Ovis aries: one gene and its partners. The protein of the gene in region 2 purifies or fractionates together with the protein of the main gene of each other region. This does not show direct contact. Links are inferred from orthologs where the notes say so. Each region holds a gene or a part of one and is shown on either strand. Other genes may lie near its edges.

Region 1 (5,754 bases), on a different chromosome or scaffold from region 2:
TTAGATACTAACTCAGCAGTGGCCACAGGACTGGAAGAGGTCAGTTTTCATGCCAATCCCAGAGAAAGGCAGTGCCAAACAATGTTCAAACTACCACACAATTGCACTCATTTCACATGCTAGCAAAGGAATGCTCAAAATTCTCCAAGCTAGGCTTCAACAGTATGTGAACCAAAAACTTCCAGGTGTTCAAGCTGGATTTAGAAAAGGCAGAGGAACCAGAGATCAAATTGCCTGCATCTACTGGATGATAAAAAAGCAAGAAAATTCCAGAGAAACATCTGCTTCATGGACTGTGCTAAAGCATTTGACTGTGTGGATCACAACAAACTGGAAAATTTTTGAAGAGATGGGAATACCAGACCACCTTATCTACCTCCTGAGAAACCTGTATGCAGGTTGAGTATCAACAGTTAGAACCAGACATGGAACAACGGACTGGTTCCAAATTGGGAAAGGAGTGCATCAAGGCTGTATACTGTTACCCTGCTGTTTTAACTTGTATGCAGAATACATCATGCGAAATGCCAGGCTGGACGAAGCACAAGCTGGAGTCAAGATTGCTGGGAGAAATATCAATAACATCAGATATGCAGATGATACCACCCTTATGGCAGAAAGTGAAGAGGAACTAAAGAGCCTCTTGATGAAAGTGAAAAGGAGAGTGAAAAAGTTGGCTTAAAACTCAACATTCAAAAAACTAAGATCATGGCATCCAATCCCATCACTGCATGAGAAATAGATGGAGAAACAATGGTAACCGTGACAGATATCATTTTCTTGGGCTCCAAAATCACTGCAGACGGTGGCTGCAGCCATGAAATTAAAAGATGCTTGCTCTTTGGAAGAAAAGCTATGACTAACCTACACAGCATATTAAAAAGCAGACATTACTTTGCCGGCAAAGGTCCATATAGTCAAAGCTATGGTTTTTCCAGTAGTCATGTATGGATGTGAGTTTGGACCATAAAGAAGGCTGAGCACTGAAGAATTGATGCTTTTGAACTGTGGTGTTGGAGAAGACTCTTGAGAGTCCTTTGGACTGCAAGAAGATCAAATCAGTCCATCCTAAAGGAAATCAATCTGGAATATTCATTGGAAGGCCTGATGTTGAAGCTGAAACTCTGATACTTTGGCCACCTGATGCAAAGAACTGACTCATTAGAAAAGACCTTGGTACTGGGAAAGATTGAAGGTGGGAGGAGAAGGGGATGACAGGATGAGATGGTTGGATGGCATCCCTTGATTCAATGGATACAAGTTTGAGCAAGCTCCGGGAGTTGGTGAAGGACAAGGAAGCAGTACATGGGGTCACAAGGAGTCAGACACGACTGAGTGACTGGACAACAAAAATTTGCTGTTCTTAAGATATACTGTAAGAAATACTTTGTTCAAACTTGAAAAAAAAAATAGGAATATATGGTATAGTATAGTTGTTACAGTATATACTGTAATTATAGTAATTTTTAGTTACTATTACTGTGACTTATTGTTTTTATTATTTTATTCTTAGCTTAAATACATTGTTTAATTTCCTGTTGTTTTTTAATACCAGGAGTCTCCCAGTTGCAAGAAAAGGTGCTGTGTCTAGTGCTCTCTACATGGCATGGTTAGAAGCTCTATCCAAGGACCTGCCACCAATTCTCCTAGTCCGTGGGAATCATCAGAGTGTCCTTACCTTCTATTCTTAAGTGTTTTATCTGCACAGTGGACAGCCCTCCAGACGGTACTTCAGTGCCTAGTGAAGTAACTATCACTGAAATCTTCAACATCACAATGGCGAACTGTGACTTTTTTTCACTATTTCATTGATTTGAAAGCACACAGGGAAGTTGCTCCATTGATATATGTGTGGAGACTTCAGTTTTAGTCAATTCCGTATTTCAGTCTTAGTGAATGATGATTCCTTGTTGGACTGAAGCTTGTGAAAGTAAAGTTTTTCCTTTGCTACTTGAATAGCAATAAAAGTATGTTATTTTTTGATTGATGAAAGGAGTACAAAAAGCCTTTAGCCTTGAGGTGCCTTCTGAAATTAACCAAATTTCATCCATATATCCTCTTTTATAAATTTGTAGAATGTCAAACTTTGCCTTCCACTATTTTTATTTCTAATCTTTCCCACCTTAAAATGGACACCGCTTTTCTTTTTCCATTGACCAATTAGTGTTGAGTACTGTATGTTTTCTATTACTTTTGTAAATGTGTTTGTTAGCTATTAAAGGCGAGAATTAGGGCTAGTTAGTGAAAATGCAAGGGTAAAACTGAGAATCGAAAAGTGACCCCAAGGTTAGGTTTGCATTAGGATGTATAAATGTAGATCTAGGGGGAAAAAAGCCCAATAAACCTTTTTTTAAAAACCTCTAATTGGCTGTTATTTATATCTTTTTTGATTATTATTATTTGAATCCTTAGGGGAGGTTGAAGATTTATCCAGTACTTCTATACACCATCCTGAAAAATCACATATTGTCATTCTTTAAAGAAAATCTTTAAGACCATTTATATTTATTAGAAGAAAGATCTGTCCTAATTTAGAGTTTTCCTCAAATCTGAGGGACTTTTACAAAATGCTAAAAGATTTTCCTGGTTAAAATTAGACAAAGCATTGTCATTTAATAGAATATTTCAATAAATATATGGAATATCACTATATCATCCTTTTTTAAATCATTAAAATATTTAATGTTTCATCAAATGGTTAAATGGACCACTGGTTTCTTAGTGAAATGTTTTTAGGCTTAATTCATTCAACTGTCAAGTAAATAGTCTTAATTAATATACTCAGGTTTGAACAGATTATTCTGGACATTTAAATTTAATCCATTCTTAATACTTTAAAACTTCTGTGTTAAGAAAAACTGCCAGTTTGTGCTTTTGAAAAGTCTGTTTTGACATCATAGTCTACTAGTACAATTTGGACAGTGCATATGTACTGTTACTAAAAGCTTTATATGCAATTATTAATGTGAAGTTTTTTGTTTTTTATTCAAGGAAGGATTTCCTAGAAACATTTCAAGGGATTGTATGTCTACATATCTGTATGTGTGTGTGTATATATGTTTATGCATACACATATGCATATGTGTATTTATAATGACACAATGGTTTTTTGTATTTTAAAGTGTTAAGATTTATCATATTAAATTTTTTGTTTATGAGTTCACAGATTGAAAGACAGGTTTCATGGAGAACAAATGTGATCACTGGAAGGGCATGTAACTTCACACAGTTATCATTCGATTAGGAAATGGAGAATGTTTCACCTAAAGTACTCTTCAGTGTATTCACTGGTATAGGTTTCACTGGTGAAGAATTTATGTAGGTGTTCATGAATCTCGATAAAAATCTATAAAATTACTACTGTTGTTCAGTAGTGCAATATCTTTGCTGCATGAGTATGAACTAAGTTAATATCATAACAGAGATCTGATAGTAATTTTAAATTCAGAATGCTAAGAGAATGAGGTAATTGTTTTCCTAAAAACTTTTTCCTATGTTATAACTCACACCATTGTACCATTTTTTGGAGGTTTTGTACTGTTTAAGAGGAAAGACAGTGAAAATGTCAGATTCAGTAAACAATGTCATGTCTCAACTTTTTAAATGGATAATAGGGCATAACTGAGTGCTGCTATCTTGAAATGTGCACAGGTACACTTACTTTTTCTTTTTTTAAGTTTTTCCCATTCAGGAAAACCTCGTTGTGATCTGTACTGCAGGAACCAAATGTCATGCATCATACATATGTGTATAAAGTACATTAAATATATCTAAATATACATAATGGGGGAGGGTAATATTGTCTGTGAAATAACGTAAGAAGCTTTTCACTTAAAAGGAAATGCATTACTTTTACTTAACACTAGATACCAGGTCAAATTTTTCAAGGTTGTTTTTGTGCTCTGATAAATTGTAACAATTAATTCCTAGAAATGTTAGCTAATGTTGAAGCTATTCTACTCTATTTCATTTATGCTGAATTTGATTATTTTAATGCCAAAAATTTTAAGTTCTAATCATTGGTGATAACATGGAAATAAACAGTTATGCAATGGCATATGACCGTTCATTATTTCTCTAGGTAAAAATTCAGTGGGTTTAAAGAATGGTGGTGTTAAGCTGATTATTAACAGTTAATTAAATCACATATTTATTTGTCACATTACTTCATTTGTATTTTAGGTTTCCTTTTACATTCTTTTTTTATGCTTTCTGACATTACATATTTTTAAAGACTATGGAAAAATAATTTAAAGATTTGAGCTCTGGTGGATGTTTACTAGTTTGAAAATGTAATATTTTGATAATACTGTACTATAACTGTCACACAAATGCTTTTCTAATGTTTTAACGTTGAGTATTGCAGTTGCTGCTTTGTACAGAGGTTACTGCAATAAAGGAAGTGGATTCATTAAAACAATTTAATGTCTATTTATTTTATCCATTTTATAAATCTATATCAACTCTGTGATTTTTACCTCATTTATACAACTTATTTCATGGATGTCTTGAGTTTTTTAAAATGGCTTTTACCCTAATATTCATTGTTTGGAAAAGTTGTTTGAAGTTGTTCACTATCCTTAAACCTTTGGAGTAATCACTAATTTTCTTGACAGATTGAGCTATATCAGACACAGCTCATTTTGATATTTTGTAAATCATTTAACTTTTCTAATTCTGCTTTATTTGTCTTTTGGTTAAATCATGTGTTTATGAGTGAAGAAAGTAGAAATGGATTCACAGTCCCTGAGTTTAATCTGATTCATTTCTTGCTAAGATTTTTGGCAAAGCTAATTTACAGTTTTACAAAGCATTTTCCGTTTACCATTTGAACATTACAGTAGGTGTATTATATGTGCAGGACAGCCGTTTCTTTCTCTTCTACTCTTGAGAAAGTAGCTTGGAGAATTGTAGCGAGTTTCCCAAGATCATGTGATAAATCAACAAAGGATACTGGTCTAGAACACAGTTCTTTCATCTTCACGCATATCACCATTATGCAGTCACTGCTGCCTGATCCATAACTTAGTTACTGGTTTAGAATGGTCATTTCCAAACTACTCATACTTACCTGCCCAGGAAGTTTGTGCTCAGGTAATACAAATTACAGTTACAAGTGTATACTGGCCACAGGCTACCTAATAGATCTGAAACAAATATAAGTGTCCATTGTATGATCTTTGCTTTTTGCTTATTCCTCATAAAGCTGCTATTCAAGTTTACTCACTTCTTCGTGGAATAGGAGGGAGGGTTAAGAGAGAATTAAAAGGCAGCTATGATTGTGACATTTACTATCAGAGCATCCAGTGGTTTTCAAAACAGGAATGTAATTAAGTCTTTGAGCCAGCAGAGTTTTTTGTTTTTATTTGGGGAATAAAAGATAAATGCTTTGATATGCATCAGCAGGATGCATATGTATGTATCAACAGGATGTTTATAGGATTAGAGGAAATAGATGATAGTTTGATGTTTAACTGTTTGGGTAAACAAGTAGTTAAAACATCAAAATAATGGTTTAAACAGCATAAGTCTTAGAATACACTCATCAGAAAGTACTGTTTAGCTAGTTCAGATAATACATACATAAAAGGTGTTCGTGGATTAACCAATCAGACATACTTTTTTGAGGGGGACTACTAAAATACCTGAAGAGCTCAGTCTCATTGCTTTTTATAGGGAAGCAATGGTCATAGACCTATTTTACCCATGGCATAGGAGTTTAAGGTAGGCTGTTAAATGGCAGCATTAAGGAGA
Region 2 (5,754 bases):
AAAAAAAAAAAAAAGAAAGAAATGTCCTTTCTTTCCCTTTTCTGTAAGAACTCTTTAAGCTGTTTTTAAAAATCTTTATTGAATTGTTACAATATTATTTTATGTTTTGGTTTTTTGGCCACCAGGCATGTGGGATCTTAGTTCCCCAACCAGGGATCGGACCTGCTCCCCCCGCATTGGAAGGGGAAGTCTTAACCACTGGATGGCCAGCGAAGTCCCTGTAACAACTCTTAAGTTCCTCCTGTGGTAGCAGCACACTTCTCTAGGCAGTGGCAGTCTTTTGGGGAAGGAAGTACAGAGGAGCACCGACTTTTGCATTGAAGAGTCAAATATTATATACTAAACGCAGTGAAACAAGCCCTGGGAGAGTCACTGTGACTTCCCAATTAGATCACCTGCAGTTTCCAAATTGGAAGATGGGCACAGTGATAACCTGAGTGTATCCAAATATGTTTCAGAATGTCCAGATTTGAAAAGAGGTGTGCAAAAATAAAAAATTAACGGAAGGTCATATTGAACTGTATTATAAGTAACAGCAGAGTAAGATAAAATATCTGGTATATAAATGAAGCATACAGTAAGTTCTAGGAGGACGTTTTGTCTGCTTTTGTTTTACCAAAAAGTCTAGTATTTTGTATTTTTAGGACCTATCAAGTAGCCACCACTTAACGGATCATTTCTTAGAATAACTGAATAACTTTAACAAGTAGGCAACTTACGGCTTCCCAGGTGGTGCTGGTGGTAAAGAACACGCCAGCCAGTGCAGGAGATGTAAGAGATGTGGGTTTGATCCCTGGCTCAGGAAGGTCCCCTGGAGGAGGGCTTGGCAACCTACTTGTTTTCTTGCCTAGAGAATCCTATGGACAGAGGAGCCTGGTGGGCTATGGGTCCATAGGGTAGCAAAGAGTCCGACATGACTGAAGTGACTCAGCACACACATGTAGACAGCTTAAGGAAAAAGATTCTGATTACTGAAGATCCAGGTAACTTTGACCATAGCACAGGTGATCCTGGGCGGAGAAAATAACCCAGGCCTGAGGAGTCCCAAGCTGCCCTCCTCTCCTCACCGCCAGAGCACCAGCTCCGGGAGCAAGTGTAGAACATCTTGTTTGTTGGGAACTGGCACTGAGGGAGGAGCCAGAGAAGCAGGAGTGATGGTCTCATGGCCACACACTGAGGCAGCTTTGGGCAAGGCCAACCCTCTTTGGTAGCATCCTACCCCAAAATATTTTTCTCCAAATTGTCTTTTTTTTAAAAAAAACCTTGGTTTGTTATACTGCCAGATATTTTCATTTGGAATAACAAACACCTTTTTTTAAAAAAAGTACATCTTGTGCTCGCCTTTCTTTGCTATTGCTTCATATCCCCAGTCTCACCTTCCTTTCAAGGTTTAGCTCAACACTATCCCTGTTGGAAGTCATCTTTCCAGTTGTGACTTCTCGTAGCACATAGTCTGGCTCGCACCACCCATTACTTGTGACCCTTTCTGGCCTCTGGACCCTTTGATGATATATCTTAGCCAATTCCGTCTGCAAACCCAGACCTGAGCCTGCCCAGTGCCTGGCACAGAACAGGCACACATGTGTGCAAATGAAGAAATAAGTCAGCAGCAGCAGCTATGGCTTGGGCAGTGGGGCGGGCAAGGCAGAGACTATCTTTCAAACACTAGCAGGAAGAACCAACGGCCTCCTCCTAAAACCCAGAAGAGGGTGTGGGGCTATCACTGAGAACCGGAGGAGAGGTGGGCGAGATTCATCTGATGAACACTTTTTATGAGGTGGTGGAAAAAAAGAGCACAGGAAGGAAGGTGAAGGAGAACCAAAGACAAACCAGGACCATTTACATTTGTTACCTAGGAAAGGGCAGAGTATTGTACTTCCTGCTCTCCCACTTGTATTGTATAGCCTGTTACTTCCAGGATTCAGCCACAAGAGAGTGTGATTAGAGTTCAGCTATGAGTTAAATAGGGCCTGGTGATTCAGGTGGAGAGCATCCTCACCCTTTGAGACATTTTTGTGGTTCCCCACCATTGATTTTGGCATATTTGGAGAACAGACTTGTTTGTGTTAAGAGAATGCCTGTACATTGACTTGACCTGCACAATGAGCTGTTTGTGATGTTCACACAGAAATCAGTGAAATCTTTTAGGATCAAGTGATAACCCCTGTTTTTTTTCCTCCTTTCAGGAAAATGGCAGACGGTTTTTCGGTAAGTGTTTTATGTCTGTTTTCCTACCTTAATATATATACATTCATGCAGGATGAGGGTTTTTTGTTTGTTTTTTAACCGCTCAAGTTTCCTGTTTAACTCTCCCACCTCGTGGCTTCCTCTGGCCTCATCTGTCCAATGAGGGCTTGTTAGGTGGAGTCTTGTTTTTGCAGCAACAGGTTTGGGAAGAAAGCCAGGCAGAGAGAGGCCTCACTAACAGTAACCCCTTTACCAAAGGCCTAGGACAGAAGCTGGTGGATTCTGCTGGCAGGAGCTGAGAAGCCAACTGAGCAAAGGGCAGTGTGGTTCATTCTGAGCAACCTGATTTTTTTTAACCCTAAAGTGCCCTCAACTCCTTCTCCCTTCCCAAATGCTGGAGTAAGAAGCAGCCAAAACGAATTCCTATTAGCATACTTATGTATTCCCCAATTCCCTAATGGAATGACACGTCACCTAGAGCCATGAGCTCTGCTCAGGTTTGTTTTCTAAATCCAGTTTGCTTTCCATCATCACGGAGCCCTCAGTTTCTCTCTCCCCCTCCCCCAGGACACATGGGCTCCCTTCACAGCCTCACTGTGTTGCCCCAACACCAGGTCTAGGGTTGTGTTCCCAATGCATCAGAGACAATCCTGGCAGATCATATTCAGTCAATGGAGAAGCCTTTACTGGGCATCTTCCATGTACCACCTGGCAGCGTGCTAAACACTGTAGAAAACAGGCAGGGAGAAAGCAGTCTCGTCCTGGAGAGAAAGGACACAATCCAACGCTGGCACAGAGTGTCGCAGTCTGTAAAGAGCCGTCCCAAATGTGGCCTCACTTGCTTGTCACAACGATCATGTGAAATAGGTCATTATCCCCATTTTACAAGCAAAGACACTAAGTCCTATACAGGCAACACGATAGCTCTGAAACTCTGGAGCTCTTGATCGATAACACTGGATTTCTTGATGGATGGCACTGAATTTTAAACCAAGTCTTCTGACTCCACATCGCAGGCTTCTCCCTGTGTACAAGGCAGCCTCTCTGGTACTAGCCTGGATGCCACTAAGTGGTAACTTACCTGGCGTACCCAAAGTGCAGTAGACATCCCGCAAAGGGAAGGCCAACACAACCAGGGCCAGCTTGGTGGCAGGTTTTGCAGCCCAAGAGTATACTGAGTTTGGTGACTTTTTTTTTTCCCATGTCAGTTAGAAAGTATGTGCTTTTACATAGAGAATGCAGATTACAAAAAGGCAACCCTCAGTGATCTGAGATGATGGGAGGCAAGAGTAAAGTGATAAAGCATGTATAATACCATAGTCAAATTTTAGTCTTAGGAATTCAAAACTAAAAGGTTGGAAAAACTTTATTGATGTGAATTTCGTATCTTCACCACATCCCTCTAATTCTTAGATCACATATTCCTGAAAATTCTGTTGTGATTGTTCTTCATCCTATAATTTTTTAAATGTCTTTTTTTCCAGCTTAATGATGCCTTAGCTGGGTCTGGAAAACCAAACCCCCAAGGTTGGCCTGGTTCATGGGGAAACCAGCCTGCTGGGGCAGGAGGCTACCCAGGAGCAGCCTATCCTGGGGCCTACCCTGGACAAGGACCTCCTGGCCCCTACCCTGGACAAGGACCTCCTGGCCCCTACCCTGGACAAGGACCTCCTGGCCCCTACCCTGGACAGGGACCTCCTGGGGCCTACCCTGGCCCAACAGCACCTGCTTATCCTGGACCAACTGCACCAAGTGCCTACCCCGGACCTGGGGCCTACCCACCTCCTGCCTACCCTGCTGCCAGCCCCTATGGCATCCCTTCTGGACCCCTGGTAAGATGGAGTGAATCATTTAGTAAACTTCAATGTGCTTGGGACCAAGTTAATAAAGAACACGGCTGGGACTTCCCTAGCAGTCCAGTGGCTAAGACTCCATGCTCCCAGTGCAGGGGGCCTGAGTTTGACCCCTGATCAGGGAACTAGATCCCACATGCCACAACTAAGACCCAGCACAACCAAATAAATAAATATTTAAAAAAGAAAGAAAATGGTAATTTTCTGGAGCGGTAGTGTCATCACTTTGTAGTGCTCTGACTGGAAGCTGGCGCTGGGCACTGGTGACCTGCAGAGGGCTTCGGGAGACCTGAAGCTTGAAACTCACCGCTTAGAGCCATTTTGCAAGGACCAGGCACAGTGTATGTTGGTTCAATAGAAAAATTAGTTTCCGGTGTTTAGTATATGTACTGTTAGTTTAAAGAGAAGCCAATATATGTTTTGAAGGCATCTGTAGAGCAGCTTTAATATAAATCAAGATCATAGTAATGGTTGTTATTATTACTGATAAACACTGAATATATAACATGTACCAGCTGAGTGCTTGCTTATACATGGATGCTCTCATTCAACTCCATAAGCACCCTGTAAGATACTATTATTATCGCCACTTTACAAATAAGGAAATAGGGTAATAAAGGGTTATACAACCTTCCCATGGTCATAGAGGGGAAATTTGGGGCAACCACAGTAATCTGGTTTTTAAAAACCTTCTAAAGATAATTTTGTGATCTAAGGGTTGAATTTTCATTTATATTAAAACTCATTTTAATAAATGAATTCTAACCATAAAACCCAACTCTGGGGGCTCCCGACACATCTCCAAACAGTCTAGCTGTGAGAAAAGATACATATATGAGAAAAGAGTTCAATAGCAGTGTGAGATCAGCCCCTTTCAGGAGTGTGATGGCACAGGGAATATTTGCTCTGCTTATTGGTCGGCTTAGAGGAGAGCAGAGAGACAGCATTAGGTGCATGAGAGGCGATGCGCAGGACCTGGACCACACACAGGTAGTCAGTTTAGACAGGAAAATGGAAATTCTGGAAGGAAGAGGCAGTGGGAAAGAGATTGAAGAGGAGGAACCCCAGAATCTAGTGGTTAAGTCTTGTTTTTGTTCAGTCACTAAGTCGAGTCTGACTCTTTGTAACCCCATGGACTGCATCACACCAGGCTTCCCTGTCCTTCCCTACCCCTTGGGGTTTTCTCAAACTCATGTTCATCAAGTTGTTGATGCCATCCAACCATCTCATCCCTTGTTGCCCTCTTCTCCGCCTGCCCTCAATCTTTCCCAGCATCAGGGTCTTTTCTAATGAGTAGGCTCTTCACATCAGGTGGCCAAAATATTGGAATGTCAGCTTCAGCATCAGTCCTTCCAATGAATATTCAGGGTTGATTTCCTTTAGGATTGACTGGTTTGGTCTCCTTGCTGTCCAAGGGACTCTCAAGAGTCTTCTCCAGCACCAAAAATTCAAAAGCATCAATTCTTTGGTGCTCAGCTTTCTTTATGGTCCAACTCTCACATTCGTATATGACTGCTGCAAAAACCACAGCTTTGACTATACAGACCTTTGGAATCAAAGTGATGTCTCTACTCTTTAATAGCTTTTCTTCCAAAGAGCTAGAGTCTTCTGATTTTGTGACTGCAGTCACTATCTGCAGTGATTTTGCAGTCCAAGATAATAAAATCTGCCAGTTTCCCACTTTTCCCTCATCTATTTGCCATAAAGTGATGGG
Region 3 (5,754 bases), on a different chromosome or scaffold from region 2:
TAAGGCCATTGTCCCATTAACACGGGACTTCCCAGGTGGAGCACTGTCTGCCCACGACCTGAGGTTTTAAAGCCAAAAGTCCCGGGTTCCAGGGAATCCCGGGCAAGCTCTGGCGGAAGTTCGGTCACCCTAGTTGCAGAGTAGTGAAGAAAAGTCCAGAACTTAGCTCACAAAAAGCCCTCAGAAATTTTTGGTGTTACTTTTGACATGTAAATTAACGTGTATTAAAAGACTTGCCTTTTAACTGTACTATTCTGGGAATTATGACAGATTTATTCTGTCAGGTAACTACAGTCAGAACGTAGAATGTGTCCATCACCCCAGAAAAGTCCTCAGAACCATTTGGAGCTGAGCCTCTCAGGATTTTGATCAAGACAGGCATTGAGATGGGTGCTCAGTCCCTGAGTCGGAGAGGGACTGCTCAGCCCTGGGGAGCCTCCTGCCCCTCCACCAGGAGGGCCCATGTTGCAAGAATGTTCTGCAGACTGACCCGCGTCTGTCTGCCTCCTCGTGGCTTGTCTGCCTGTATCCTGTTTATGTCCTTGGAGCCATCACAGATGTCTCATGTTCTTCCCACGTGGTGGATCTGAAGCTGTACCAAAACAGCTCCCACAGCCCTGCCCCTTCACTCCAGGCTCAACACCTCTGGTTGCTTTAGCTGTCCCCGGGTAGGCCTCCGCAGACTCATACAGTGTCGTGTTCAGACTCAATTCAGAGCAGCTGATGGTGGGACCACACTGACGAATTTTTAACAATTGAAGCCCTGCTGCCTCTGCAGCCGGCAGTAGTGCTTTACTGGGGCCTCATTTTAATTCAGCAAAAGCATGATTCAGATCCCAGATGTTTGGCCTATAGATTAAATACCCACTAGCAAAATGTATCATTAAAGTTTCAGAGTGTCTTTCTGGGTGATACCTGGTACACCTGTGTAAGAGGACACTGTTGCTTTGTGGACATGTGGGTTTTGATGCCCAAATGGTGGGGTAAAGACTACTGGGACTTGGGAATCTGTTTTCCCTTTATGTTGGTTTTTGATGTTTTCCTTGGCACAATTCAAAGAGGACCAGCTTGTAGAGAAGATGATGCTCTGGCAAATTCTCTTGACTGTACTCTCCTTATCCACGGGTCGGGGCTGTCTGATCTTGGGCAGGTCAATGACCTTGCAGAGCCTGCTTTTCCTTCTTGTGCAGTTGGAGAGGTCCCTTCTCATAGGATCATTGTGAGGCCTTGTAAGCTGATAAGAGGCCAGTCAGTGGTAACTAATTGATGAGGATGCTTTTGCAGAATGTCGCTCTAGAAGCGAAGGAAGCACAGCATCACCCAGCATTCCCTTATTTATGGGGCCGATTTCATCTGGCCCAATTCCAGTTTCTTTCTGCTCTAAGTGGTCTCTGTTTTGTTTTTTTTGAGAGGGGGGTCTCTGTTTTGAAGATGTTTTAATGCTGTTTTAGACATGAAATCCATGCCTGTCAGTTCAGTTCATTGGTGAGTGGAAACAGTGCCACACCTTTGTGAGAGACTTCGCCTCTGTTAGTTGAGGATCTGAGAGCTGACAGCCCCACCTCCCGCCCCTCCTCCCGGGAGAGGGTGCACAGCTGCACACACAGCCTCGGCCGGGGGTCTCAGGGAGCACTTGTCTGTGTGCCTTGCCGTTGGTGACTTGTGGCTCCATGTTGGACCCTTGTATGTTACAGAATAATAACACTAACAATGTGTGCCCTGGGCGAAGTTTTAGATGTGTAGTGACTTAAAATAGTTTTTAAAATACTTTAATGATATGAAAACGTAAGCATTATAGCCAGCAACCTGTGTTCATGACTCTGTGTGTGAAGTGAATTTGCTGTTTCACATTTGAATGTTATTTAGAGAAGCGTCGGCGGTATGATGTAGTAATCACTGATAGACTCTATATTAGGTTTATAGGTACTTTACGCCTTTGGCCAAAAAAAGGAGAAGCTATGAATTTTTTCAAATAAAAGTATGAATAATAATATGTTTGGAATTTAGTGTTTTCACATTAAGTGTATTTTTCTAAGTATTTTTCCGCACCAGACTCAGCTCCATAAGGACAAGAGATGTATCTTTTCTTTATTTATGTGTGTTTCCTCAGCACTCAGAAACAGAATGAGGCATATAGTAGGTGCTCAGTAAATGTCTGTTGCATTTACTTTTTCTGTCCAAAACTTGGTTCAAATTTTATAGTTTTCAATTTTTCCATGCTCAGAAAGTTCAGATTTAAAATGTCAGTGTTAAAAGACAAAAATTATTCACAGTAGTTGGTGACTCAGTCAAATGGGTCGGGAGTTTATAAACTAGAAAGCTGACAGCTCCCATTTATATCCAAGTCCCAGAATTGCAAGCATTCTTAATGGTAATTTATTTCTGGTTTTAGAGAAGGGTGTGCAATTAAAACTTTTTTTTTTTTTCCTATTTTACCACAAAGGGCCTTAGAGCCTGTTTCTCCATTAAGAGTATTTTGGGTTGGGTACCTCTGAGACCTGGGACCTGTGCATGTTATAAATAGTGTAGTAAGGCAGGCCAGGGTGAGCGAGTGGGCAGGGCTGCCAGCACCGGAGCCAGGACCGGAAGGCCTCCTGGTACCAGAGCCAGCCAAGAACTCTGGACTGTGGGGCGGGCCGGAGCATGGAGGGGAGGCCTGAGGGCGGAAGTAGAGGGACGGGTGGCTGTACAGCGATTGGGACCTCAGGTTCTACCGCCAGGACCGCCTGGGGTCAGATCCCGGCCCATTCCCTGGCTGTGTTGCCCTGGGCACATTTCTTACCCTCTCTGTGCCCTGACTTCCTCCTCCTTGCGGCGGGGGGAGGGGGATGCTAGTATGAGTGTCCTGGTGCCTGATAGGGTGGTGATCAGGGCTCGCCAGTGGGCACTCTGTCATCTTCCCCCAGGTGACACCGTCAGGTTATCACCAGGAGCATCACCCGCTCCCCGTCTCGGCTTTTCCTTAAGAGAAGAGCTGATGTCTTCTCTGCTGTAACAGAGCCCTCCCTCCCAGTCACACCAGTGTGACTGCAATACAGTAAACCAGCTCGGTTTTGTAAGAGTTTTGTGTTGGTCATCGAGGCTTGACATTTGGTAAATAGCCTAATTTAAGGCCCAAACAATCGGGACAGTGGTCTTTTCAAATGCTCACCCGGTGATGTAGCTGATGTAGGTGTCACCAGCTTCAGATGAAGCTGCAGGCTTCCTCCACACCACAGGACCAGTGGCCAGTGTGACAAAGCTGGGGATGAGGTCGGCCACCTTCCAGACAGCGCTGGGTGATCCCACCGTGATGGCGGCCAGCATCGCACTCTGGCTAGGAAGCGCTTCCGTCTGCTGATTCCGGACGTCTCCCTGTTTTGAGGAGTAATTTGGGTGGCCACATTGGGTAGGCGACGATTAGTAGGTAACGGAAGGGGGTTTGAGCAGATTCAGTGCAGCAAGCTCATTTCCTATCCCCAAACCTAATTTGTTACCAAATAACTGATTTCTGGGGGTGGAAGAAAACTAATTCCTTCATTTTATTTCCCAAAGTGAAGGCATTGGAGTCTTTCAGCAATCTTCTAAACACAGTCTGTTTGATTCATGTAAGATGTCTCGAGGAGGGCCATTCCCGGAAGATAAAGTGGAAGATGTGAAAGCTCTTGTCAAGATTGTCCCCGTTTTCTTGGCTTTGATACCTTACTGGACAGTGTATTTTCAAGTGAGTCTTATATTCAGGTCTCATTTCCTCTCTTCCCCCCACCGTGAACACTGCCCCGGCACTCAAGTGCCTGGGTTCCCTGCTTTCCTTGCCATAAGTCTCCAGGATCTTGGAGTCTTGATGTTAGTTATGGACTCATTTTTGTGGACTTAAATGTTTTGAAAACCTTTTTAAAAATGAAGCTAAGAATGGGCATACCTCTGTTTTTCCAGGCCCCACCTTTTAATTTCTCAGTGGGGTAGTCGTTACTTCTCTTTTAAAGTTCACCATCAGATGACTTTTATGGTGGCCAAGAGATTGACCTGCCCATTTGCCAACCTGACCTTTGCGAGTCTCATCACAGAGTACTCTGGGGGCGGGGCGGCTCGCTGCAGGCCTGTGACAGCCGTGCACGTGTAATGACACTGCTTTTTACACCCAGATGCAGACGACGTATGTTTTACAGAGTCTTCATTTGAAGATTCCAGAAATTTCCAGTATTACAACCAATCCTCATACGGTGAGAACAATTGAAATTTTGTGAAAATTGTCATTGGGGGTTTACGTGACAGAATTTCTTCTGCCAGTCACAGATACTTTGTAAATGATATAGGTAGCTTGAACTAAACATGTTCCTATTGAAATGGAATTTTTGCTCACTTCTGAAACTATCTTTCTGTTGGTTATGTCCTTTACTAGATTAAACTGACTTTGTGGTGGTTATTTAGTCAAGAAATCGTGTCCGACTCTTGCGACCCCATGGACTGTAGCTTGCCAGGCTCTTTCCAGGCAAGAACACGGGAGTGGGTTGCAGTTTCCTTCTCCAGGGGACCATCTGGATCCAGGGATTGAACCTGCGTTTCCTGCTTGGCAGGCAGATTCTTTACCACTGAGCCACCTGGGAAGCCCAAACTAAGTTGCTACTGTCAGTTAAACATGAATATTTGACCCGTTTCTTCCCCCCAGAAAGCACAGAAAACCCAAATCACATCCCTTTTAGAAATGAAAGCCTTTCCTCAGATCCAGTGTCTTGAGACAGACTATTTTCCTAGGAGGTCATACTTGTACAAATGAGCTGTTTTTGAAATAAGCTTTTCCCATTTAGACGTTAGTTGTCAAGTAAGCAGCTGCTGACACCGCAGAAAAATAAGCCCGTGTCTTCTGCATCTCCAAATTCTAGTTTCCGGCAGCCTGGCTGACCATGTTTGATGCTGTGCTCATCCTCCTGTTAATTCCCCTGAAAGATAAACTAGTCGATCCCATCTTGAAACGAAATGGCCTGCTCCCATCATCCTTGAAAAGGATCGCCGTGGGGATGTTCTTCGTGATGTGCTCAGCCTTCGCCGCAGGTGAGAAGCCAGCTCCGTTTCTGCTCCTACCTGCTTCCCGTTGTGGGTGATTCAGAATATGGTAGTCACTCATGTGTTCTTTAGGAAGCGTGTACATATAAGGATTATTTTATTAAACTGGAGTAGTATATGAAGTTTAAGATTTTTCTCTGAGGATTTGCTCTTTTACGTTTTTTAAAATATGTATTTTATTTATTTGGCTGTGGAAGCTTTTTGGTTGTGGTAAGTGAACTCTTAGTTCCAGCATGGGTTTCTAGTTACCTGCTGCTGCTGCTAAGTCACTTCAGTCGTGTCCGACTCTGTGTGACCCCGTAGACGGCAGCCCACCAGGCTCCCCCGTCCCTGGGATTCTCCAGGCAAGGACACTGGAGTGGGTTGCCATTTCCTTCTCCAATGCATGAAAGTGAAAAGTGAAAGGGAAGTCGCTCAGGCGTGTCCAACTCTTCACGACCCCATGGACTGCAGCCTACCAGGCTCCTCTGTCCATGGGATTTTCCAGGCAAGAGTACTGGAGTGGGGTACCATCACCTTCTCCAGTAGTTACCTGACTAGAGATCAAACCCAGGCCTCCTGTATTGGGAACCTGGAGTCTTAGCCACCTGATCACCAACGAGTCCTTATTTTTTTTCCTTGAAGAATTGTAGCCAGTGAAATGCTCTGGAAGATGACTTTTGGATTGAGTCAAGGGAGACTTATTGTCTCTTACTGATTTCGATTTTAGAC
Region 4 (6,352 bases), on a different chromosome or scaffold from region 2:
CTCTAAGAAGCGGAGACTTAGAATGTGAAAACAACTTGTGGGCTGTGGTCAGGGAGTCCCAAGCCTCCGAATTTCACCGAATTTCACTCACAGCTGCTCTTTTTTTTTGCCTCTGACGAGCTCTCAGTTTCTTGGAAGATCCCCCGCCTTTGGGCAAACCAACACAGAAGTCATCGGAGTGACTGACATGGTTAGGAAAGATGGCCCAGTGAGGTCACACCCGGTGCCGCTGAGCCTGGAGGCCTTTGTCATCAGAAACACAGGAGCGTTTACAGCACTTCTCATTTCTGTTTCAGCCCAGGCCTTTGATTTCCACAGGGCGGGGTTTCCAGAGCTGGGACCATCACACCCTCCATCTGTCTGTCTTTCATCACCTTGTGTGTGATGGATCTGGGGACCGTGGTTCCCACTGCTCCACTCCTGGCCTCCTCCCAGCCCTTCTCACGAACTCCAGGCCCTCACTTCTCATCCACCGCTCAGCGGGGCCGGGAGAGGAGCGTGCAGATCAAGGCAGCATCTCCCCACAAAGCCGCAGTTGTCCGTCCATTTCCCTAAAGTTCCCTGGCTTGGGGGTGTCCCCACGACCACAGACGAGGCTGTTAGGAAGCACAGCCCTGGTTGGCCTGCCACTCAGTGTCCCTGAAGTCCATGCCGTCCCCGCCTGGAGCAGCAGCTCTCCTTCTGCAAAGATCAGGAGGCCCCACAGTCCAGGTCCTGCTCTGCCCGCGTGAGCTGAGTGCCTGAGGTTCTCTGGAGGCGGTGCGGTGGGCTGGGGCAGCCAGGACTCCCATCCCGGTTCTCTGACTCTCTAGCCAGGGAGGGGACCTGTGGGAGGGCTGGGGGAGACTGGGAGGGGGGTGCCGCCTCCCCCATCCTCAGTCTCCTCTGCCAAGTGGAAGTGGGAGGTGGAGATCCCACCGCAGGGTGGGCTTCCCAGGGTCAGGAGGGATACAGATGCCTGGGGCCCAGCGGCTCAGCGTCAGCGTTGTTCTGCCCAGTCCCTCTCCGTGCCTGGCCCCCTCCCACATCTCCCATGAAAGAGAAGTGATACCTGCCAAGGCCGGGGCTTTGGTGGGTGTGGGGACCCAACAAGACAGTGATCGGAGGGCCCCACCCAGAACCGGGCGGGTAAGAGACAGGGCTGCCCCCACCCAGCGCTGCCCCCCCCGCCCCCGTCATTGGAATGCCACCTGGTGACTGGGGCCCACAGTGCTCCCCACGGAGCAGCGAGGCTAAGCCATTCCCACTTCCGAGTCGGGTTCAGTTTTACTCCCCGGCCCCGGGGCAGGCAGCATCTCGAGAAGGGCCCCTCATCTTTTGTGTGCTGAAAAATAAACAGCTCTCGGTCTCCTCGGATTTCTACTCCAGAGGTAGGTGATCTTCCCTGGTCATCCCTGCATGGACAGGCCGGCCTCGGCCCGTGGGATGGGCTGCCAGCCTCCTCCCTCGCCTCTCACCTTCGTGCAGATGCCCATGGGAGCTCCAGCCCCACTCTAGGCCTTTGCAGATGTAGAGGCTCACAGGACCCAGCCCTCTCTTCTAGGGTCTCCTAATTAAGGTGCTGTGTGCATTAGTAGAAGGAAACGTGGGATGTGGGGAGGGGTGGGGGAAGGCAGAGGACACAGCTCAGGGGGCCTGAGGCTGCCTGGGGTCAGACAAGACTGGTCTAGAGAGCTTTCCAGAACGGCTGATCTCTGAGTTAAGACGGAAGGAGAAGCCATTGCTTCACTACACCTGGGCCAGTTACTTCCCCAAGCCTCAGTTTCAGATCTTGTAAAAGAGACTGATGATACCTGCTTCAGAGGCTTCAATGAGACGATGAATGTAAAAGAACCAACAAATACCTTGTCCCTCTAAGCCCCCAGGAAACAGTAGCTGCCTGCCGTGCCCTTTCTGTTTCTCTGGTGGGTAATGGGAAGTCCTGCACCCAGGGGGAGTGGAACAGAAAAACCCAGAATTAAAATGCTTCCTGCAGGCCCTGCCTCCCTAAGGTCCTCAGACATGTTCTCCTTGTCCTTGGGTATTGCAAAATTAGATGCATTTTCAAGGCCCTTCCCCAGAGTAATTTTCACTTGTTCTCGTTTCATTTTAACAGTGTTTAGAGCTCCTGTGCTATGGCAGCTGATGGGGATTCTCTGTGTCAGACAAGGTCCCAGCCCTGATACAACTCACAATTTGGGGGAGGGGGAAGGAGACAGATGTTAAAAACCAGCATAAATAAGTCACAGACTGCAGTAAAACGGGTTGCCATGATCGATAATTTGGGTTCTGCTCGGGGTGGCTGGGACATTTGAGGGTGTGACGTTTACGCTGACCTCTGTCTGCAACAGGAGCCAGCACGGGAGGAACAGAGACATGTCCAGACAGAGGGAACAGTGCTATAAAGGTCTCGAGGGCAGGAGACACTCGGGGAATCCGAGGAACAGAGGGAGGGCGGGAGAAGCGGCAGCCTGAGGCAGGGAGGTGGGAAAAGGGGCAGGGTGGGCAGGGGCCACGGGGGACCAGTAAGGGGGCTGTCCCCACAGAATTGGGAGCAAGGGTGGCAGGACCAGAGTTTCCTGTTGAAGGCTGGGCTCTGGCTGCAGAGCAGGCGGTGAGAAGGCAGGAGGTGAAGCCTTGGGAGCTCACCGAGACTGTCACCCCAGGTGTCACTGAGCCTTCTCTGCCTGTTCCTTCATGCATCTGTGAAGTCAGCTATGAGAGGGAACGGGAGTGGTCTGGAAAGCTGAGAAAAAATGTATTAACGCGGGGGCTTCCAGGTCCCACCAGACATGGAGGGTCCTTTGGGCAACTGCTGGGTAGGCTCTTCTGGGACCTTGAGGGGCAGGGAGAGAGCCTGGCGTCCAGAGCGCCCCACCTCTGAGGGAAGGTGGAGGAAATGGTCCTGTTCCTGGCTGTCCGCTCTCCCCAAAGCTGTTCCTGTTTTGGAGGTAAGATCACACCTTGGAGCCTGGAGCCAAGCACAGGCTTCCCTCCAGCATGCACAGAACATTTTTCATTCTAAGTCAGGAGAGTGCTCTGGAATTTTCTGAGATCATTGTGAACTCTGGCTCAAAGACCACTGAACTAAAGGAAGGGGGAAATGAGAAGGGAGGCACATGCCATTTTTATTCCGTGTGTGTGTGTCTGTGTGTGTGTGTCTGTGTGTCTGTGTGTGTGTCTGTGTGTCTATGTGTGTCTGTGTTTTCCCCCAAATATTTCTAGCTCGCATGGGGGAGGCCGCTCTTGGCGCAGCTAAGGGTCAATGGCGAGAGAAACCTCTCTTGACTTTTGCGGCCAAACTAGGGGCCCTTTCCTAATACCTGCCTTTTGGCATCTGCCACCACGGTTTATAGAAGGAGGACTTCATGTTTCTTAGAAGGAAGGGTGGCCGCGAGCCCCTTCCTGCCTGCAAGCGGGAGGGGCCTCTCCCCGACCCCCACCCCGCCCCCCAGCCTCTGGGAAGGGGGAGAAGGCTCCGTCTCCCGGGTGACTGTGGGGGGCGGTCTCCCGGCGCGGCGCGGGAGGGGGCCGGAGCTGCGCGGGCCAGGCTCCGCCCTCGGAGGTGGTGCGAGGCCGGGCCCAGCCCCAGGGCCGGCCCTCCCCGGCCAGAGCCGCGGGCGCGCGGCGGCGGGCACCCGGCGGGGAGCGGGCGTCGCGGGCGCACCATGCGGAGCCTGTGGCCGCGTCCGGTGGCCGCGGCGCTGTCGGCGCTGGGGGTGAGGCGCGGGGTTGCATAAGCGGGGAAGGGGCGGGGGTGGCGGAGGGAGGCGGGACCCCCCTCGCCTCCCCCGGCGCGGGCCTGGCCGTGGGCCGGTCCCGGTGTCCCGGCCGGGGCGGGGCGCGGCGGCGGCGGCGCAGGCGACGGGTGGCCGCTTCCCCGTTCTCCCCATTCGGGAGTGGTGAGCCATGGAGGCGCTAAGAGAGTCGGTGCTGCACTTGACTTTGCAGATGTCGACCTACAAGCGGGCCACGCTGGACGAGGAGGACCTGGTGGACTCGCTGTCCGAGGGCGACGTGTACCCCAACCACCTGCAGGTAGGCGCCCCGGCGCTCTGAGCGCCCTCCCCAGCCCTGGCCGACCCGGCCGTCCTGCCTGCCACCGGGGCGTGAGGGGGCCCGTGCCAGCCCGCCAGCCCTTGGGCTCCGTGGGTTAAGAAAAGCCTGTTCTGGGTTAGCAATACCCCTGAGGCGCTGGGCTCCCCAAAGGGCCTCCCCGCCCCACCTTCACGCATCCCCAAACCCTCCGGACCACCTGCTACTGGGTTACAACTCAGGCGGCCAAGTGGAAGAAGCATCCTGGAGGGGTGAGCTGGTCCAGTTCTCTCTTCAGAGGGAGGAGGCCAGTCCCTGAGTGCTGAGACTTGCCCAGAGTTTTAGGCAGAGCATAAAATCCTCCCAGTTGTAGCGTAGAAAGTCCCGGAACCCTGTCAGTCCTGGGCAGACAGGGGGTGATTGGTCATCCTGTCTGGTGGACGTTACCCCACATTTCCTCCTCTTCTTCCCCCAAACCCCGCGTGTCCTGGGGGTTGGAGCCCAGCCTCTGCTCCCTCTCTCCCTGCCCCTTCCAGCCTCTACTTGGGAAGCCCAGTTCCTCCCCCACCAGGCTCTGCCCCCTGGGGCTCAAATGTGCCCACCACCTCTGCCTCCCGGAGGGACTGAGCTGGGATGGTCCAGACCAGGACCTCAACCCCGGCTGGGTGTGAACTGAAACAGGTGGACCTGAGGAATTTGGGAATTCCGAAGGATGCCCAGGGGGCCCTGTGACCTGACACCTGGCGAGCAGCACAGTCTAGGAGGCTTCTGCCAGGCTGACCCGGGGAGGCCTGCTGCAGGGACTGCTATCAGTTCAGAAGCCGCCCCCAGAGGGAAAGCGTAGGCTGTGTGGAAACCTGGGCTGCCAGGCCCAGTTCTGCTCGGCGCACCTCTCAGAAGCTGGGATCATACTAGTAAAGGGAAACGGCACTGATTGACACTCATTCAGTAGGCCCTGGGGAGGCCAAACCCGGCCCTGAGCGGTCTGCACACACTGGAACGGGACTCTCTCACCTACATCGTCCCACTCAGCCTTCAGGAGCAGCCCCGTGAGTTACTGTCCTCACAGCGCCCTCTTACAGATGAGGAACCTGAGGCTCTGAAAGGGGAGACAGCTTGCCTTGGGTGCACTGGAGCTAGAATTCTAGGAGTAAGAAACCAAACCCAGTCTGTCTAGAGCCGCTTCCCCGTGGACCTTTCTGCAGAGGCTAAATCCAGCAGGAAATTAGATTCCCGTGGCAGGCGCTTTTGCCTTCCCGAATCAAAACAGAATCTAATCAGCCGTCTTTTTCAGTCTCATCTTTCACAGAAGGTTCTAAATATATCAGCACAAAAGCGTTTCGGAATTCACAACGAAGTAGGGTGCTGTGCTGTTATCATCTTGTGGCAGCCCGCATGGGTATAGACTTTCTCAGGCCACAAAGTGACTCGTCAGCCTGAGGCCGCCTGGCACAGGGGAGGCACCCGGGGCTCTGAGACGGGGTGAGGGGGCCCCAGGTGTGAATCTGACACCGCCTGTGATCCTGGGCGATCTAAGCTTCTCTTCCTGCCTCTGCACAATGGGAGTTAAGAGAATGACTGTGATGCACGTTTCGGGGCCTGCCAGCATTGTTATGTTTGTGATCGTGAGGTAAGGACTCTTGCGGCTGCGTTACACATGACCAAGCTGAGTCTCAGAGAGGTTAGGGACATTCCTGTGGTCACAGAGCTGTCATGCGGTTGGAATGCAGTGTTGGTGCCCCGACACCAAACCACCCAACGGGGTATATCGTCCACTTTTACTACAGGAAAAGCCCAAATGCTTGCCCCAAGGATTTGGAGGCATTTCTGTAGGTACCCAGCCCGGCTTTCCTTGAGCCTCCACGACTTCCCCAAAGCAGACTAGCTAACGATTGTTCTTATAAGAGTCGAGAACCTTTTCATCTTATCTTACAGAGTTTTCTAGGAATTTTATGTCTTTAATCACAGGGAAGTTTTCCAGTATAACAATTTTGCATACTAATTTGTGAAAAAAAGAGTCAAGTATAAAAGAAATTTACAGAGACAGTAACCCCACCACTCAGAAATAACTACTTCTAGTTTTTTACATTTGCTTATATATTTTTTATTATAATTGAGCTCATTCTACATCCATAACATTTTGTCCTACTTTTTTCATTTAATGCCACTTCATAAGCATTTTTTTTGTGTTGTCAGAAAATTCTGAAACATCAGCTGTACCTCAGTTTTAAAAATACTTCCAAGGAGTTCCTTGATGGCTTAGTGGTTAGGACTTGATGCTTTCAGTACTGAGGGCTGGGGTTCGATCCCTGGCCTGGGAACTAACATCCTGCAAGCC
Region 5 (5,754 bases), on a different chromosome or scaffold from region 2:
GTGAGTCCTCCGCCGGATCTTGGGGCTGTACCCGCTGAGCGTGTAGGCCGGGCCGGGGGCTGGGCCGTGTCCACAGCCGTCGGCGCTCTGGCTGGGTTGAAGACGGGCTGGCAGGCCTGGGGCCCGTCTGGCAGCACCGCACTGCTCCCGGCCGAGGCCTGTCCTCACTGTAGCCCCTGAGCAGGCTCCTTCCTTATCCCCTTCGGGATTGACGGCGGCAGCCCCGGTCACCGAGCGAGCCCCGATGCTGCCCACATGGGGCTGGTCCGGGGGCGCCTGGTGGGGGAGGTGCTGGCCCTGAGTCCCCCACCCCCAGCTCCTGTGTGCCGCTGTGCACCTGTGGGCGAGCTGTTTGCACCATGTCAGACACCCCAGGGCAGAGGGCGGTGGTGGGACAGACCCGGGCATGCCGCTCGTGGACACCTCTGTGGCTGAGTGGAGAGTATCAGCAGCTCCTCCCCAGAGACCCCTGAGCTGCGCTGGTTACAGAGGGGGACAGTGAGCAGAGGCTTTTCACTGCCCGCCCCCACCAGGGTCTGTCTGCTGGGGAACCGCACGCTGTCCCGACGTGGCTTCGACGTCTGTGCCAAAGTCCACACCGCCAACAATATCTCGGCGACCACCGCACTCTGGGGCGTTTTCTGCAATGGCTCCGCGGACAGCACTTCCTGTGACCAGTACTTTCTCCACAACAACGTCACCGAGATCCAGGGCATCCCGGGTGTGGCCAGCGGAGTCCTCCTGGGTGAGTGTCCCCCCCGGTGAGTGTCCCCCTGCTGAGTGTCCCCCCGGTGAGTGTTCCCCCGGTGAGTGTCCCCCCCGCTGAGTGTCCCCCCGCTGAGTGTCCCCCCCGCTGAGTGTCCCCCCCGCTGAGTGTCCCCCCCGCTGAGTGTCCCCCTGCTGAGTGGCCCCCCCAGTGAGTGTCCCCCTCTGGGTGAGTGTCCCCCCGGTGAGTGTCCCCCCTGCTGAGTGTCCCCCCCGGTGAGTGTCCCCCCTGGTGAGTGTCCCCCTCTGGGTGAGTATCCCCCCTGCTGAGTGTCCCCCCTGGTGAGTGTCCCCCCGGTGAGTGTCCCCCTCTGGGTAAGTGTCCCCCCTGCTGAATGTCCCCCTCTGGGTGAGTATCCCCCCTGCTGAGTGTCCCCCCCAGTGAGTGTCCCCCCCCCGGTGAGTGTCCCCCTCTGGGTAAGTGTCCCCCCTGCTGAATGTCCCCCTCTGGGTGAGTATCCCCCCTGCTGAGTGTCCCCCCCGGTGAGTGTCCCCCCTGCTGAATGTTCCCCTCTGGGTGAGTATCCCCCCTGCTGAATGTCCCCCTCTGGGTGAGTGTCCCCCCTGCTGAGTGTCCCTCCCTGGTGAGTGTCTCTTCCTGGGTGAGTGTCCCCCCCTGAGTGTCTCCCCTGCTGAGTGTCCCCTTCTGGGTGAGTGTCGCCCCCGTTAAGTGTCCCCCTGCTGAGTGTCCCCCCCACTGAGTGTCCCCCCTGGTGAGTATCCCCTTCTGGGTGAGTGTCCCCCCTGCTGAGTGTCTCCCCTGCTGAGTGTCCCCCGCTGGTGAGTGGCCCCTTCTAGGTGAACATCCCCCCCAGTGAGTGTCTGTCCTCTGGGTGAGTGTCCAGCAGGTCCCTGCTGGTGGGCATCCACGCCCGCTCCTTGGGGCCCTGTCCTTCTGTCCTCCTGGTGGCCGTGTGACTGCGTCCCCCATTGCTGACCCTCTGGGCCCCCCGGGCTAGTGCTCCCCAAGCTTAGACGCCGTGGAGGGGGCAGGTCAGGCCCCGGCGTCATGCCCCCAGCTCTTGGCTTGCGGAGCAGCAGTCGGGGGTTAATGAAGAGGTGGAGGGCGGCGGTCGGGCAGCGTGTTGGTGCGCAGCTGCTGTCCGTGATGGGTGTCTTCTTCAGACTCCGGCACTGAAGCCTTTGCTTCGGCTGTCAGGAGACGTTATTTTCTCTGGGCTCAGTTGCTCTGAGTCCGCGCCCCTGTCCAGGCAGGGTCAGCGTTGGGGAGCTGAGCCCTGGGCCAGTACTGGGGTCTTGTGAGCCGCCCTTGCCCCCGCAGACAACCTGTGGAGCGCGTATGCAGACAAGGGGGCGTTCGTGGAGAAGAAGGGGGTGCCCTCGGTGGCCGTGCCGGAGGAGGCCCGAGCCCACGGCCTGCCCTACGTGCTAACCGACATCATGACGTACTTCACCATGCTGGTCGGCATCTACTTCCCATCCGTGACTGGTGAGGCCCGAGTCCGGGGGTCCAGCACACGCCGCCCCCCCCTTCCCCTCCTCCGCCGCTGTTTCTCCTCCCGCCGGTCAGGGCCCCCCGGCTCCCACACACGCCCCCCTCTCTGCCCCCGCGGGTCAGGGCCCCCCCTGCCCCCGTCCCCATCCCTGCCCCCGCGGGTCAGGGCCCCCCCTGCCCCCGTCCCCATCCCTGCCCCCGCAGGTCAGGGCCCCCCCTGCCCCCGTCCCCGTCCCTGCCCCCGTGGGTCAGGTTCCCCCGTGCCCCCCACCCCCGTCTGCCCCCGCGGGTCAGGGCCCCCCCCCCGGTTCCTTTTGGCTCAAGAAATGAGCCGAAGGGTCTCCACTCCCCATCTGTCCCGAGTCGGGGGCCTGGGAAGCTTTGTGGCATCAGGCAGGTTCGTCCACGCTCTCCTGAGAGGCCAGGCTATGCAGAGAAGCCCCGTGACCTTGGTGCTGGCAGCGGACGCGACCGCTGTCGGAGGCCGCCGTCCTCGTGCTCGCGAGAGAGTCCGCTGAGTCTTCCTGCAGGGACTGGGGTGCAGGCCACCCCCACCCCCACGCGTACGCACACACACACTTGTCCGTAGGTTCACGCGTGTGAGTACACGCACACACACCTGCTCCTGGGAAGCCCTCAGCCTCGCCATGGTCCCCTGGCCCCCCAGCCAACTGAGCAGCCTGTGGTGGTGTGTTGGTCCCTCCTGCTCCAGGCTCCCCAGAGCCGGTCCACACACACTGGGGAGGCTGGCCTGCTGGGGACCGCTCCCCTCCTGCCCGCGGCTCAGAGCCGGGGGTGGACGGGCATGTGTCTAGCCTCCCCGTGGAAGTGGGTCACACCTCACTTAGGCGGTAGTTGGGCTGGGGTCCAGCCCCTCGGGGGTCCTTCTCCCCGCCTGTCGGTGATGAGGGCATAGGAGCCTCCCCCGTGGGTGCGGGTGTTTCCACGCCCCGTGGCACCGGACCCACAGGCTCTGCTCAGGCCTCGCCCGGGATCACAGGCGCTGACAGACGTGCGTCCGTGAGGACGTGCTCTGAGCTCAGGTGGACTCTAGAGTTTATGTGCTGGACAGAGCGATGCGGGTGGAGGTGGAGGCTGCTCCCTGCAGGGGGTGTGAGGCTGAGGCTGGGCCATGCACTGACCCAGGCCTGGCCTGGGGGTGAGTCAGCGTTTGGCAGCAGCCTCCAGGGACTTTCTCACTCCCAGCTGCGGGGATTAACGGCGTTCAGGGGACGAGGTCCGAGCTGGATGCTCACAGAGGCTGGCTCTGGCATTGGTGCCCGGGGCTGAGCCGTGCTCTGCTCTGTGCCGTGACTTGGTTCACGGCCGGGCGGCTGATCCTGCGGACACTGTCGGGGACCTTAGGGTGCCCACCCGCGTGTCCTGCAGTCTCGCGGCGTACGGTGAGGTCCAGGCCAGTCTGTGAGGCCCAGCGTGCCGACAGCTGCCCCGTGCAGCCTGGGGTCTCTCCCATACTTTGTGAGGAAGCCCCCCTGCCCCCCACCGTGCTTGGACTCTGCCCGACGGGGCTGGGCGGGCGGCCTCTCCCAGGTGGGCCCGGGAACCATCACCACTCTCTGTTTCCACAGGCATCATGGCGGGCTCAAACCGCTCCGGGGACCTCAGGGATGCACAGAAGTCCATCCCCACGGGGACCATCCTGGCCATCGTGACCACGTCGTTCATTTGTATCCTCGGGGGTCAGTGTGGGGGCCGGGCGTGGGGGCCCAGTGTGGGGGCGAGCCGGGCGTGGGGCCGAGCCGGGCGTGGGGCCGGGCGTGGGGGCCCAGTGTGGGGCCGAGCCGGGCGTGGGGCCGAGCCGGGCGTGGGGCCGGGCGTGGGGGCCCAGTGTGGGGGCGAGCCGGGCGTGGGGCCGGGCGTGGGGGCCGGGCGTGGGGACCCAGTGTGGGGGCCGAGCCGGGCTTGGGGGCCGGGCGCCTGTACCGCCCTCCGCTTGTGGCCGCGCCCTTGGGGCCTCCTCCAGGTGCCCCCACCCCTGCCTCCAGGCAGTGTCGGGCTGCCCTGACCGCACCCCCGCCCTCGGAGGGGCTGGGCTGGCCTTGCCCTGACCCCTGGACTCCAGCCTGGGTTGGTGAAGAGCGTGGCTCTGCCTGGGGGCCGCACGTGAGCACACGGCTCTGTGGTGCGTGACCACGTGCAGCTGTGTGTGCGCTCGGCGCCACGCTTTTGCCGAGCGGGGGTCCCTGGTGTCGCCGTGCCGGTGGGGCCGTTTCTCCCGAGTTCACGCCTCCCCAGCTGGTGAGGGTTCCCGCTTGGTCCCAGCAGTGGTCGCGACGAGGGCCAGGCCCGTCCCGACTGACCCGAGGTGTTCCGTCCAGGGGGGCCGCGACCCGAGTGGGGTGGGCAGGCGGGGGCTGGTGCGGGCCCGCCTGTGGCCAGCGTGTGCTGCCTGCCGCGTCCTTGACCCCAGCTACAGACCTGTCCTGCATCGTGCTTTTCGGCGCCTGCATCGAAGGCGTGATCTTGCGAGATAAGTACGTTTCGCTCATGGCTTGCGGGAGCTCCTGGGCCAGCTGGTTTCTTTGATGACTAGCGTTGAGACTGGGGAGGGCAGGGTGTCCAGCCTCGCGTGTCAGGGTGTCCCAGCGGCCAGCGTGCTGGGGTCAGGCCTGTGCATCCCTCCTGTACTGGAGCCTAGAGCCCACACCGCGACCCTGGCCTCCAGGAGAGCTGGGTGCAGGGGCTCCGGGGGGCTGTCACGCCCTCTCGGAGGCTGGGAGGCGGTCTCTGTTCTCAGCTGCACTTTGGAAACTCTTGCCCCCTCAGGTTCGGGGAGGCCCTGCAGGGGAACCTCGTCATTGGCATGCTGGCCTGGCCGTCGCCCTGGGTCATCGTCATCGGCTCCTTCTTCTCCACCTGTGGGGCCGGCCTGCAGAGCCTGACCGGGGCCCCGCGGCTGCTGCAGGCCATCGCCCGGGACTCCATCGTCCCCTTCCTGCAGGTGAGCGCCCCCCATCATGTGTGAGACTCCCCCCCCGCCAGGAAGCCTGCCTCTGAGGGCCTGGGGTCTGCCCCTGAGCGCAAAGCCGGGGGACGTAGGTCCCCGCCTCCAGCCTGGCCGCCCCACCCCGAGCCTGTGTTCTCGTCTTGCTCTGTGTCTGCCCCAGGCTCTGGGTTTCCCATCCCGGACCGCATGCGGGAAGGAGGTGGGGGGTAAAGCTTCCTCCCAGGAGCCACGGTCCCCATGGGGCCCTCCCAGGCTGTGCCCCCAGCCAGCACTCGACGGGAGCCCCGGGCTCCGCGCTCTGGCCTCTCCTGGCTGTGGCTGTGTGGGGTCCGTCCTGGCGTTGCAGCCCTGAGGCCTCCTTTGAGCTGAACGCAGTGTCTCTGCCTCCGGCCCGCACATGAGCGTTCTTCCGGCGCCTACCCCCTGCTCCCGGCAGGTGTTCGGCCACGGGAAGGCCAACGGGGAGCCCACATGGGCCCTGCTGCTCACAGCCCTCATCTGCGAGACCGGCATCCTCATCGCCTCCCTGGACAGCGTGGCCCCCATCCTGTCCATGTGAGTAGCC

Evidence for each region.
Region 1: the proteins of LGALS3 (region 2) and SLC12A2 purify together in Homo sapiens (affinity purification with mass spectrometry; 3 studies listed by BioGRID and IntAct, counting the BioPlex papers as one, with this or other methods). This does not show direct contact. The link is inferred for Ovis aries from reciprocal best matches to the Homo sapiens genes LGALS3 and SLC12A2.
Region 3: the proteins of LGALS3 (region 2) and SLC15A4 purify together in Homo sapiens (affinity purification with mass spectrometry; 3 studies listed by BioGRID and IntAct, counting the BioPlex papers as one, with this or other methods). This does not show direct contact. The link is inferred for Ovis aries from reciprocal best matches to the Homo sapiens genes LGALS3 and SLC15A4.
Region 4: the proteins of LGALS3 (region 2) and ECE1 purify together in Homo sapiens (affinity purification with mass spectrometry; 3 studies listed by BioGRID and IntAct, counting the BioPlex papers as one, with this or other methods). This does not show direct contact. The link is inferred for Ovis aries from reciprocal best matches to the Homo sapiens genes LGALS3 and ECE1.
Region 5: the proteins of LGALS3 (region 2) and SLC12A7 purify together in Homo sapiens (affinity purification with mass spectrometry; 3 studies listed by BioGRID and IntAct, counting the BioPlex papers as one, with this or other methods). This does not show direct contact. The link is inferred for Ovis aries from reciprocal best matches to the Homo sapiens genes LGALS3 and SLC12A7.

What each region holds. Positions count from the first base shown.
Region 1 is NC_056058.1:23,539,866-23,545,619, reverse strand, and holds the end of SLC12A2 (solute carrier family 12 member 2), read left to right. Parts: intron 1-1,555; coding exon 1,556-1,691; 3' UTR 1,692-4,420; downstream 4,421-5,754. UniProt on the Homo sapiens protein: Cation-chloride cotransporter which mediates the electroneutral transport of chloride, potassium and/or sodium ions across the membrane. Plays a vital role in the regulation of ionic balance and cell volume.
Region 2 is NC_056060.1:65,684,420-65,690,173, forward strand, and holds part of LGALS3 (galectin-3), read left to right. Parts: intron 1-2,186; 5' UTR 2,187-2,190; coding exon 2,191-2,208; intron 2,209-3,671; coding exon 3,672-4,019; intron 4,020-5,754. UniProt on the Homo sapiens protein: Galactose-specific lectin which binds IgE. May mediate with the alpha-3, beta-1 integrin the stimulation by CSPG4 of endothelial cells migration.
Region 3 is NC_056070.1:48,375,902-48,381,655, forward strand, and holds part of SLC15A4 (solute carrier family 15 member 4), read left to right. Parts: intron 1-3,534; coding exon 3,535-3,703; intron 3,704-4,124; coding exon 4,125-4,202; intron 4,203-4,862; coding exon 4,863-5,031; intron 5,032-5,754. UniProt on the Homo sapiens protein: Proton-coupled amino-acid transporter that mediates the transmembrane transport of L-histidine and some di- and tripeptides from inside the lysosome to the cytosol, and plays a key role in innate immune response.
Region 4 is NC_056055.1:245,113,513-245,119,864, forward strand, and holds the start of ECE1 (endothelin-converting enzyme 1), read left to right. Parts: upstream 1-2,408; 5' UTR 2,409-2,771; coding exon 2,772-2,930; intron 2,931-3,589; exon of another isoform or gene 3,590-3,647; coding exon of another isoform or gene 3,648-3,698; intron 3,699-3,930; coding exon 3,931-4,017; exon of another isoform or gene 4,018-6,352. UniProt on the Homo sapiens protein: Converts big endothelin-1 to endothelin-1.
Region 5 is NC_056069.1:71,334,140-71,339,893, forward strand, and holds part of SLC12A7 (solute carrier family 12 member 7), read left to right. Parts: intron 1-533; coding exon 534-745; intron 746-2,047; coding exon 2,048-2,215; intron 2,216-3,810; coding exon 3,811-3,909; intron 3,910-4,658; coding exon 4,659-4,716; intron 4,717-5,008; coding exon 5,009-5,183; intron 5,184-5,625; coding exon 5,626-5,744; intron 5,745-5,754. UniProt on the Homo sapiens protein: Mediates electroneutral potassium-chloride cotransport when activated by cell swelling. May mediate K(+) uptake into Deiters' cells in the cochlea and contribute to K(+) recycling in the inner ear.